3 linked regions of the Nothobranchius furzeri genome follow. The protein of the gene in region 2 interacts with the protein of the main gene of each other region in a biochemical or structural test. Links are inferred from orthologs where the notes say so. Each region holds a gene or a part of one and is shown on either strand. Other genes may lie near its edges.

Region 1 (3,650 bases), on a different chromosome or scaffold from region 2:
GATGCAGCCCTCGGAAAAGACAGCAGCCTGCTGTCAGCAGGTGACAAGCTCCTGCGCTCGGGGGGGGGGGGGGGGGGCAACGCGCTCTGCCAGACCGTAGGTACTGACACGCGATCGTTCATGTCGGTTCATTTCCTTTAATGTTTTCTGTCTTTTATTTGCGCCTGATGTGTTTCGCTGCTGTGGAGCGGGGCGCATCACCTTGTCCTCCAACGCACCGATCACTGATGCGGCCACCAAGCAGCGAGCACTCCGCTGTTTTTGCGGTCGGTAGATCTTTTAGAATTGCAGTTCAAAGGTAACTCATGAGGTGAATATAAATGAACCCAGGTAGCAGTTTCTCTTTAGGATGGAGAGGAGATGCAGGAAGATAATAAACAGACAGGACAGAAAAATAGTCAAATAAAAACAAGTTAGTTTTTGTACCTGGTGGTTGCAACAAACAGACACCATTGAAGGTAATCAGAAGTGAGGAACAGAAAATGAAATAATTATTTTAATGTTTAGAGCAGCAGGAACTCTGAAAGGCTGCAGGCGCATCAGTGAGTTTGCGGCCGCTATGCAGGGGGAGGGGGGAGAGAGTGCTGAAGCAGAAACTACCGTTGTTAAAAGAAATGTGTTTAACTTAGAAAATGTGGGCGCAATATTAATTGTCAAAAACTCCAGCGAACCATTAGTTCATTTTGCTCAAATAGAAATAGAGGCCTGCCTCTAATACTGGCCCTCCTTCCAATAAAGGCCTGGAGCTTGATGAGCTTGAGTCGAATACAGGCCCAGGCCTGTATTAGAGGATTTACGGTAAACCAAATTAATTTCCTCCGTTAGTCCACAAGTCTTGCATCTACAAACCAACATATCATATTCCTTCGAATGCGTCTTTTTAGTGGAAGTGTCCGCCCTGGAACTGGGAGATCAGGGTTCAAATCCCGGTCAGGTCCTACCAAAGACTTTATAAATGGGACCCAATGCCTCCCTGCTTGACACTCGGCTTTAAGGGTGTCGGATTGGGGGGTTTAAACCACCAAGTGGTTCCTGAGAGCAGCTGCAGCTCGCCGCTGCCCTCGGGCATGGGTCAGATGTGAAGATGAATTTCACCGGTGTGTGAGGACTAATGGGACTTTAACCTTCTCTAACAGTTTTTATCAAAAGCTGCGAATGCTCATTGTAGCTTCAAACGTTTACAGCAATGACCCTGGTGTGTACGCTTTTAATCAACAACTCCACTGATGCAGCTGGTGAAGAGTTGCCCCATTTGTTGGGGTAAAACCTCTAACAGTAGGTCAACAGTGCCACACCCAATTCTCACATAACTCCAAAAGTGCTCCCCACGTCTGGTCCTCAGAGCCCACCCATGTTTTCCACGTCTCTGCTTCAGCACACCTGATTTTAGTTTTCAAACTATAAACTCTGAAAATGTCAGTAGAAACACACAAACGTGTTGCTCGGATTGAAGTTACACGCCACTACTATCTTCTGGTGTAAAGTAGTAACTTTATGAGGGATTATATTTGCAGTTGTGGCTCAATAAACGCAATATTGAAACTTTGGCGCTTAAAGGGTTGATTTTACAGTCCGCCGCAGGTCTTTCAGTTATACGGCTGTACATTTATACTTTATTATTTAAAGTACACAAGTGCGGTCAAGTGAAACATTTTAATGCATCTTGTGCCTTGTTGTTATGTCGGTGCTAAATAAATATATCCATGGTTTGGTAACTGATTAATTACAATGCCTTGCTTTTAGTGAGGTTTAGTACACCTCTTAGCCAATGTTATGGTTCTAATTCTTGACTTAATCATTTGTTTCTGTATTTCGGTATTTGGCCGTGGTTTCCTCACTTTGGGTTTTGGTGTTTTCATTTCGGTGCATCCCTAAATGAGAGCAGACAGCACAGTGGGCCCTGAGGACCTGGACTGGACAACTCTGCTGTATAATGTTGATTGGTGCATCAGATATCCAATGAAATCCACTGTGAACAATGAGTACAAACGTGATTGGTGGATTGCTGCGTGCCAGCTACCCGTCACCGTTAGATGAGAACGCGTTGAGGACCAGCGATCGCGCTCTCCTACATTCCAGTGTTGATGCTCAAACGTAACCTTGTGCAGCTCTAACTTTGTCTTCAGCAAATGTAAACGTTTTAATATCAGCCATGTGAAAATCTAATTTCATCTTCGTCTTTTGACCAGAATTCTGCTGAGGCGTCTCATCAAGAACAACGCTGTTTATGAGAAGCGCTCCTCCTACAGGCGCTGTTGCTGGTACGTTCATGCGGAGGTCCTGTCCCGTTTCGGCCAGGAGGCTCTCCCAGTTCCGTGCCAGTGGACCTACCACACCACAGGAGCTCGGGAGGAGTTTCGTGATGAAGCCCAGGCAGCCACGGGCTCTCAGGGAAACTCCCCCTCCACACCTCAGACCTCTTCTTCCTCCAACAAGCGGAAGAGCGCCGGCAGCATGTCGATCACAAAATTCATGAAGAAATGTTCCAATCCTGACCAGGTGAGGGTTTTTGAGCGGGTGAGTCACCTTCAGGTGGGTTTTCATTCACTGACTTTATTCCTGTTGTTTGAATCCAGACTGAAGCGACGGAGGCAGACAGTTTTCAGGCTGACACTGAGGAGGATGATGATGAATGTGTCATCGTCTCGGCTCACACTGGTGAGATACCTTAAGGAAATCGTTCTTGCTAACTTAACATGAATGTTGCCTTCCATGATATAATTTTTTTTTACTTGACATTTTAGACTCTAAAAATAAAAATGCAACTGTTGCCATTGACAATCTAATGGAGGCAACCCCCTTGGATTCAGCTGCTCTCCCCGAGGGTGGATCTGCTCCGACTCTCCCCACAGCCTGAGGACAGGACCGCACCGCACCGTGCTCGCTCCTCCTCACCTCCTCATCCCTTTTAAAACCTTAAGGAAAATCGAGGCACGCTGCATGTAAAGACAAGTGTTCAGCTCTATATTTTAAGTTCTACCGTACCACTCGCCTCGTGTTCTAAGGTATAGATCACTTGTTTTTGGATAAAAGCAGAGCAAAAATGATTTCTCATAACAATTCAAAACATCAGGAACACCATCATTTTACAGTTTTTGAGAATTATTAACAAACCCACTGGTTTTCTTTTGATTTAATGTAAATAGTTCATCACACCTCGATGCTGGGAAACAGGCTCCATGTCCACCTGTACATTCGTCCCTGGTTTCATTTACTCTGCCGTGTCTGACAGCTCACTGGGGTAGTTGAGAGATCTGTTCTTGTACAGTTAGTGTTGGTGTTTTATAAATATGTATTTTCTGTATTTTTCAAGATTACTTGAACAAGATAAATTCATTAAACGTGAATAAAAATTCTGCACCTTTAAGGCTCCTTTCATGGTTTAACCCTCTGGAGGCAGGCGTTGCAGATGTGCAACAGTTAAAACCTACCTACCTGGTTACTCCACACACGTGTTTCATGAACATTTTTAACTCAGAAGAACCGCTGAAGGACTTCGTTGTTCGTTCTTTTATCAAAACTTATTTTGAGCCTGAGAGGGTTAAATCAGGTGAAGGTATTAATACAAAAACTGGCCTCATGTTTCTGTTTATTGAAGAAAATCCTCAGTGGGGAGTATTTTTTTTTATCACAAGCAGGTTCAGAAGCAA
Region 2 (4,227 bases):
ATTACAGTTTAGGAACCGCTCAGACTAAAGTCAAAGAACTCCTTCTTTCAAAGAGCCAACACACAATTAATATGTACTCACTGTCGTTTAATGTGTTAGGGATATAATCGTTTAAGACTGGTGTTGAAGAGAAGCCACTGATGTCCTTTACAGATCATCATCAGAACAAAAGGCCACGAGGCTCAGCTTCTATAAAATGGCGGCTTCAAGAAAGCTCTGCAGCTACGGCACACAGTCCGTCGACAACACCAAGTATGGCCAACCTATAATAAAACTACCCAAAACCAAACTATTAATCTTACGGCCTGATATCCTTTGATAAGTTTAGCACTCACCTCTTTAGACATTTTGCCGCTTTATCCTTGACGACTCCTTGAGAACCGACCGCAGAGGAACTAGCTGCGTCAGACAAGACCAGCGACAGGGTGAACGTACAAGAAATAGGAACGGAAACGCCTCTTCCCCTCAGCGATTGGTCTGTAGTTCCCGCGGTACTGTGTCGTCAATCAGAACTGTATTTTGATTGGTCTAAATTTTGTCAATCAATGCGAACAACCATTCACTGCGTAGTAGGCATTCGCCTTTGTCGACCATGAAGAAAAATGGCCGACCTAAATTACATAAAGCCAAAAATGAATGTGCCTTCATCTATAAACAAATTATCTGAATTGACAGAGAAATTGAATGCTCACATTTAAAAGGTGCTGAAAAAACGACTTATTAACTTTTTTCTACGAAACGAGCCTAAGAAAGACAATAAACAATATAAAAGATAGACAAATTGCCGTCTGGCTAAACAACACGGGAAATATCATTCGCATGTTGGTACACAAGATGTCCCGTAATCAAACAAACCGATGCAAAATGTACAACTCTTGAAGAGTTTATGCTAAAGTATAATTTAAAATGAGCCAAATTAGTTAATCTGGGCTTTGTGTGTGGTGACTAAAGGGGGAAAATAACATGAACATAGAGAAATAAATAAATGCAGCAAGATTTAAACGAAAAATATATGAAAACATAAATTACTACAACAAAGTAGACGTATATATATTAATTTCTTTATTTTCAGTCAAATAATTGTAACCCTTTATGCTGTGTTTTTTTTTATTTTGTATTATCGTGTATACTTATTTTGTAAATTATTGTGACTGCAAGTTACTACAATTTTATAAACCGAACGTTAACGTTATAGAAAAGTTAAAATTTAGTAGGAAGGAACGTGTTTTCTAAACATTTATTATGTCACCAGCAGACTGGGGGCGGGTATGTTCATTGTGCGTTTTTAACGCGCGCTTTTTGCGCACGGCACCTTTATGTGCTACAGGCTAGATGCTAACGCTGGTGCTGCATTAGCTGCACTGCTGCCTCTAGATAAACGGAGCAGTCCCTGCGACCAGCGGCCTACATCCAGTGGGTTATACACTCCGAGGGTAAGAAACTGCGTTTTTGTAAATGTGCTTTACGCTGTTGCAAGTATCGGGTAGTTGTTTGATAAGTAAATTAGCGAGTATAGCATAGCTTTAGCACGTAAGCTAGCTCCTTTGGCTAGTTTGGGGTTAGTTAGCAGGACAAATCCCTTGGTCTTCATTGAACTGTGTGCTTTGTTCGTTTTCTGTGAGTGCAGTCTGGTCGCATATAACTATTTCAAACGGGCATATGTCGAGAAATGCACATGTATGGCCATTATATTAGCAGTTTTCCCATGCTTATCGTTCTGCTAGTGGGAAGAACGAGATTAAATGAAGATATTCATTGATGCACGGTAACCACGTTGTGTGGCTAACGCTCATGGTTGCAAACCTGCAGCTTGAGCTTAAATTTATGTGTTTACATGTGGACGAGCGCTGAGAAAAAATGGCATGTTTTGTGAGATGCTTGTTTGTGATTTCGTCGTGAACAGGAAAGTGCCATCGAACTCTAAAAGAGTGTAGTGTGAAGCACCCAACTCCGAGATGGGCAAAAAGTCACGTGAAGAGGAGTCCTCATCTGATGAAGAAGAGTATGTTGTGGAGAAGGTGCTGGACAGGAGGGTGGTGAAAGGCAGGGTGGAGTTCTTCCTTAAGTGGAAAGGATACTCTGAGTAAGTACCAAGTACCTGTTTACTGGTCAGTGACTTGATATTCCCGTTTTACACACACACACACACACACACACACACACACACACACACACACACACACACACACACACACACACACAGCACAAAAAGCATCAGTGAAGCTGGTTTGAGCACACAATATTACCCTTTTAAAAATGAACGTGACATTTCAATGACTTGTGCTGTGATTTTCTGCAGCAAGCACAACACATGGGAGCCAGAGAAGAATCTAGACTGCCCTGAGCTTATTTCAGAGTTCATGAAGACCTATAAGAAAAGCAGCAGCAGCGGTGGTAGTTCGACACCTAGCAGCGGGGCCAGTAAATCAAGCACAGGCTCATCTGGACGCACTAAAGATCCCAGCAGCTTAAAAAAGAAGGGCTCTGATGAAGAGGAGGAAGAAGAGGAAGGAGGAAGTAAGCCAAAGAAGAAGAAAGAGGTAAATTATCTTCATTATAGGTGAATTTCATTGACTACGTTTACATGCAGCCAATATCCGGGTTATGATCGGGTTAAGGTCGGTATTCGGGTTTCTGAGTTGATCAGAATAACCCGTTTACAAGCCCGTTTACAATAAATAGAAAGAGTTACCCCTAACTTGCATAACCCGATTTAAATGCGGACGGTGGGGTAGCGTCAAGACATATGGACTACGTCCAGACGCAATATGCCTCATTTCCGGTTCTTCTTGTTCCGGTATCCGTGAAAACAACAACACGTTTCCCAGTTCGGAAGAGACGGCGACCGCGTTTGTTTGTGCTTTAGTTTCTTCGTCACTGCGAAAGTGTGGTGCTGTGCCGCGACTCGCCATGTTGCTCCCAACTTGTTGTTTACTTCCGGTGTTCTGGCGCATACAAGACGTCTCGCTACTCAAAAGACCAAGATTCCTTGCGAACAGAGCATGTGCAGAACACACGCTTTGATGGGGATATCCCGGTATGCGTTTACACGACCAAACATTCGGGTTAGAAAAGGGTTACGCCAGGTGTAGTAACCGGGTTTTTAAAAACCCGGTTATGAGCATATCCAGGTTTTTGGCGGTGTTTACAAGGACCTGCGGAACCGGGTTATTGTGAATATTCGGGTTTTAAAAGGGTTACTGGCTGCATGTAAACGCACTCATTCTGATATGAATCATTTGTATGCGTGGGAGCATTTGTACTTAGCTCTTCTGAACTGATTTCTGTAAAGACTGTTTATATTTTAGCTAAATGTTGTAAAATGTATAATTTTGAGATGAAAATGATAAATTGTTTTTTTGAATTACCAATAATGCATTAACTTATGGGCAGGTGATGGGCAACACCTATACTTATTAAATAATATAAGTTATATCTAGATTTGACCTGTGTTTAGAATTGCTGAATTTATGGCCAATGAAATAGCCCTTTGGCAAATATTCAGCTGGCATTTTTAATTTTTTATTTTTTATTTTTTTACATTTCAGGATGAGATCCTAGTTGCACGTGGCTTTGAGAGGGGCCTAGAGCCAGAGAAGATCATTGGGGCAACCGACTCGTGTGGAGACCTCATGTTTCTAATGAAGTGGTAAGTTTTACTGGTAGACTCATTTTGGGAGATCTTCATTCTGTTATAATGACAATGCACTTACTTTTATGCACTTTGGTAATCATAATGCACCCATTTCGTAGTAAAACAAAATTTTCCTCAGACATAAACATTAGAAGCTAACCTAGCACAGGGGGGACTAACAGGCCTTTGTAGAGCTTGGTGACCTGCTGAACAGGTAATTCAACCATTCAGGTGTATTGCAGCAGTGAGATGACTAAAACATGCTGGGTATGGGGATCTCAGACACACTTGATCTAAGAGGACTACTATTCATTCTCGTATGACAAAGAAATATGCTTAAGTATTATAAAGTACTTACATTTTCAACTATTAAATGTCTAAAACAGAACTGGTTAAACGGTGCAGAATTGTTGCACCAGAGCACAGCACGATGTCCTATCATGAGCTTAAATGTCTAACAACCTGAATCTTTAACACCACATTACTACTGGCAAATCATTCATTAGCTAATCGCTGTTCCGTCATAAACAGTAAGCCACATCATAAAACTTTATGCTATTGCATATTAGCTAAATTTATACATGCAGTAAATT
Region 3 (4,080 bases), on a different chromosome or scaffold from region 2:
TGAGCCTGTAGGTCTTCATTAGGTCATGATCTCATTCCGTGTTCAAGGGCTTTCTCTCATCATGTTGCTCCAGCCCATCAAACACCAGGTTCTGTTCCCCTTCAGACAGAACCACGCACAGGCATCTCTGGTTTCAGACTGGGTTTGTGTGGACAGATGCCATAATCTATGTTTCTAACCCCAACAGAAGTACCAGCCAGACGCTGTGTCTTCTCTGACATGACTGCACTTTAAGACAGAAACTCGCAGAGCAATCCAGCATCGTGCCTGTCACGGGCAGCATGGCTCCATCACCAAAGGATTCAAGCCAGCAGCCTCCCGTCGAGCGTCATCACTAGCAAAGTCTCCTCTTTTACTTCTGTCAGGAGATATGGAAACAGGTGTGGTGGGCGGCAGGTGAGGGGTTCTCTGTGTGAAGCCAGGTAGTTTGTGCCTTGTTCCCAACATGCATTTAACACGTGCTATCAGAGTAATAACACTTTGTTGTCATATGCAGGTTTTAATTTGTCTTCATTTTTTATCGCCGTCGTGTGGTTTTAAAGACTTTTAGTACCGTTTATAAACATGTTTTTATTTGAATGTAGGGGACATCTCTGATTGGTGGAGCTGTTTCAGCTCACAGGTTCGATCCAGCTGAGGTCATCCTTCTTTTCTATTTGGAAGTCCAAGTGGGTGCAGTGTTTTAGATGTAAAACAGACTGTTTGTGTTCAGCAGCTTAGTTTTATTTTTAATCCAGAGTCAATCTAGTTTTGTCTGTGAAAGTTGGTTCTGCTACGCCTCATCAAGATGGTGGGAACCCCTCCATACAGCCAGGTGCGTGCTGATGGATGGGGGGTGCCTCTTACATAGCAGTTAGTTGGGTTTTTAGTCATCTACATTGTACCATACTGGTCTTGTGTTAATGTCTTTTCTTACACGCTAGCATACTGAGCAAATACAATAAAAGTTGCAATACACGATGTGTTTGTTTTATATAAATGACCCTGGATGTAAATAATCATTACATTTTTATTTTTCACATGAAACTGCAGATGTTTGTGCAGCTTCGCTGGCACAAACATCTGCAGGAGCAGAAGCAGCCTGAGCTGCAGACAGGAAACAGGGAGACGCTGCGGTTTGATTTTACAGCAGCTCTCTGGTTCAAACATATACAAGACACTGTCCTCTACTCAGCATCTGGACCAGAGAGGAGGGTTGGGTCTGGTGAGAGACAAGTACGATGGAACTTGGAATAAAACTTAAAAATCATAAACATTTAATAACCCAGTCGGAGAAAAGGAAGGAATAACTAGCAGGAAGTATAGAAAGATCGTTTTGCTGAAGCTGAAGACGCTGCAGGCAGAAACAACCATTTTGTTAAACTAATATGAGTCCAGTAAACAAAGGTGGTCGTGAGTCTCCAAGTCCAAACCAATCCTGACTCTTTTAAAATCCACCAGTAGCCAATCAGAGCTCAGAGCCGTTTGAAATGAACGCTGATCCAACCAATCAGAAGGCTTCGCGCCTTCCTGGTCACTGGTGAGTTCGCCCAGAGAGGGAGGGAGAACCGAGTTGTATATCAAACGTTAGCAAAGTTCTTTTTAAAAATATAGAACTCTTAATTTATTATTTCATCGTCCTGTGAATGATTGTTCATCGCTTTATCTCTGGACATATTGGCGCAAAACCAGGTAAGTGCGACCACGTCTACTGTATTAGCGTTGTTACCAAACAGCAAGTTGTTCAACTCTTTGTTGAAAGGTTAGCTGGTGCTAACCTGACGGCGGCCAGGGCTCGGGCTAATTCCTGGACTCGCAACAGATTTTCTTATCAGAAATAGAAGTGATAATATAATAACGACGGTTTATGTGTGTGTTAAAAACTTCGTTAAATTGATTATGTTTTTAAAAGTCTCAACCAAGCGCACTTTCACGTTAGCGACACTGAACGGGCCATTTGCCCACTATGAGGTTAACGTACGCATCTGTACAGTGTGCATTAAATAGACGGTGCGCGTACACACCTCTTAAGACTGTTAAAACGTATAGTAATAAGAAACAAGAGGGTTTGGTAGTAACCTGCGCTCAGCGCGCGGGTAATCCGCATACGGAAGCGTTTAGGAGCCGGTGTCGCTGGAGTTGGGAGTTTCAGACAGGATTTGAACACATGACGTTTTCCCTCCTTTCATTTGTGTTGCTTGTGGCAGCGTCAGGTTCCTTCGAAGGCCACTTGGCTAACGGAGAGCGCATCCCGTTAAAGACACAGCTCCCGGGTACCGTTAGGTTTTATTGTGATGCGTCAGGTTCCTGTTCAGCATGGAGGGAGTGCTGGTGTAGTGGTGCGGGCTGTTTCAGCTCACTGAAACTACTCAGCACGTCGTTTGGTCCGTCGCTGAGCGCGGGTTTGATGACACATTAAAAGATGGAGCTGTGTGCGGCGGTAAAGTGGCAAAGCTGCGAGGCGCAACGCGTTCGCAGATTTGCCACTTTTCTTTTCAAAATAAAAGCCCATCTCAGAAACGTATTTTGTGACAAATTATTCTAAATAAAAACAGGAAATACTTATGGAATTCCAAAGTTACCAAATCGTAGTTATATCGCCATTTTAACAAGGGATGGACTATGTATTGGCATCAATATCGGTATCGGCCGATGTTAGTCATTTTTTTAACATCAGTATCGGTCTGATAAATAAAACCAGCCTGATATTAACAACCGATATTTTTCCCATCTTGTCTCAATTTGTTTACCTGTTTCAGAGGGTGAGGGGGTGATGTGTATTTGTTTAGTCATGTGACAGTGATTGTAATCATCTCAGAAGCATAAATGTGTGTGGGATGTGTACATAATATAAATTCAGCTTTAATGGTTTTCATTCTATACAAAATATGCTGATTTTAGAAGCATTAATGTCAGCGTATCGGTATTGGCAAATATCGGTTATCTGCCCTAACAGTGATCTTAATATTGGTATCGGCCCAAAATTTCATATCGGTGCATCACTAATTTTAAAGGGACTCTAATGGGCCATTCCCATCTGTACCGGGTCGGCCCGGGCCGGGTAGTGTAGGTTGTTTACATATCTGGGTGGCCTGGTATTTTTCCGGGCCAACCAAGGCTCATTCTCAGCCCTCTTCTGGAGGGGGTCTGCTTCAGGCCGACCAGGGCCAACACACCCACTGCTGACAGCAAATGCACACCTTCTATTAGAGCAAGCCTCTGATTGGTGGGTAGAATCAGCCCACATGGGCTTAAGGCAAGGATGTGTGGAATCAACCGGGCCAGGCTGGGGCCGACTGAGGCTACCCGGCCCGGGCCGACCCGGTACAGATGGGAATGGCCCATAAGAAAGTTTGAAGTTTTTATGCTCGCAGTCGCCACCCAATTACCCAATCCTATTACACACACACACATAGCAGAGGTGGCTGGGAAACAGTAGGCATGAGCAAAAGCACTCGTAGAAAATTCTCGCCTGACGTGAACAGAGCAGTGGGCAGCACGCGAATTTCGTGAATGATCCACTTCGCGACACACAGCTGATGTGATCCTGGCGTCATGCCATTACTGAGTTGTAGTCATTTTAATTAGCAATTTTACACGTAAATAAATCTCAAATTATGTGACAGATGTAGTCGAAACACTTCATTTAAATTGAAGTACAACGCGTGTGATTGAGGGCGTAAAGGTAAGAAGACCAGAACCTTGTTCAGGGACCCACGAGCCGACCGGAAGGGGAGTAGACTCGGGTTCCTTATTAGAGACCGCTGCAAATGTCTAGGTCAGGGGTGTCAAAAATGCGGCCCGTGGGCCAAATCCGGCCCGCAAGCAGGTTAAATCCGGCCCGCGAGATGGTTGTGTAAACTTTATTTTGATACTTTACAATGTAGAGTAAAAATGAACTTATCAGTGTGAGCAAGTTTTCTCTGTAATGAGTATAAATAAAACAAAGCTGCGCTCAAGGCTCACACAAGAACTTGAATCCCATCCTGAAGTTCACCGCCACTCAGGATGTGACTTCTGATGTTGATGTGCTGGTGAAGCTAAAAGATGTAAAGTAAAATGAGTCAAATATACTTTAAGTGCTGCATGAAACTGATCTTG

The links.
Region 1: the proteins of cbx5 (region 2) and chaf1a form a complex in vitro, tested with the Homo sapiens proteins (2 studies listed by BioGRID). The link is inferred for Nothobranchius furzeri from reciprocal best matches to the Homo sapiens genes CBX5 and CHAF1A.
Region 3: the proteins of cbx5 (region 2) and lbr form a complex in vitro, tested with the Homo sapiens proteins (2 studies listed by BioGRID, with this or other methods). The link is inferred for Nothobranchius furzeri from reciprocal best matches to the Homo sapiens genes CBX5 and LBR.

What each region holds. Positions count from the first base shown.
Region 1 is NC_091748.1:48,277,662-48,281,311, reverse strand, and holds the end of chaf1a (chromatin assembly factor 1 subunit A), read left to right. Parts: intron 1-2,189; coding exon 2,190-2,499; intron 2,500-2,576; coding exon 2,577-2,658; intron 2,659-2,744; coding exon 2,745-2,857; 3' UTR 2,858-3,367; downstream 3,368-3,650. UniProt on the Homo sapiens protein: Acts as a component of the histone chaperone complex chromatin assembly factor 1 (CAF-1), which assembles histone octamers onto DNA during replication and repair.
Region 2 is NC_091755.1:25,772,327-25,776,553, forward strand, and holds the start of cbx5 (chromobox protein homolog 5), read left to right. Parts: upstream 1-1,295; 5' UTR 1,296-1,433; intron 1,434-1,903; 5' UTR 1,904-1,955; coding exon 1,956-2,083; intron 2,084-2,299; coding exon 2,300-2,540; intron 2,541-3,548; coding exon 3,549-3,649; intron 3,650-4,227. Other genes in the region: heterogeneous nuclear ribonucleoprotein A1, read right to left, coding at 336-347. UniProt on the Homo sapiens protein: Component of heterochromatin that recognizes and binds histone H3 tails methylated at 'Lys-9' (H3K9me), leading to epigenetic repression. In contrast, it is excluded from chromatin when 'Tyr-41' of histone H3 is phosphorylated (H3Y41ph).
Region 3 is NC_091742.1:28,052,301-28,056,380, reverse strand, and holds the start of lbr (delta(14)-sterol reductase LBR), read left to right. Parts: upstream 1-1,187; 5' UTR 1,188-1,671; intron 1,672-4,080. UniProt on the Homo sapiens protein: Catalyzes the reduction of the C14-unsaturated bond of lanosterol, as part of the metabolic pathway leading to cholesterol biosynthesis.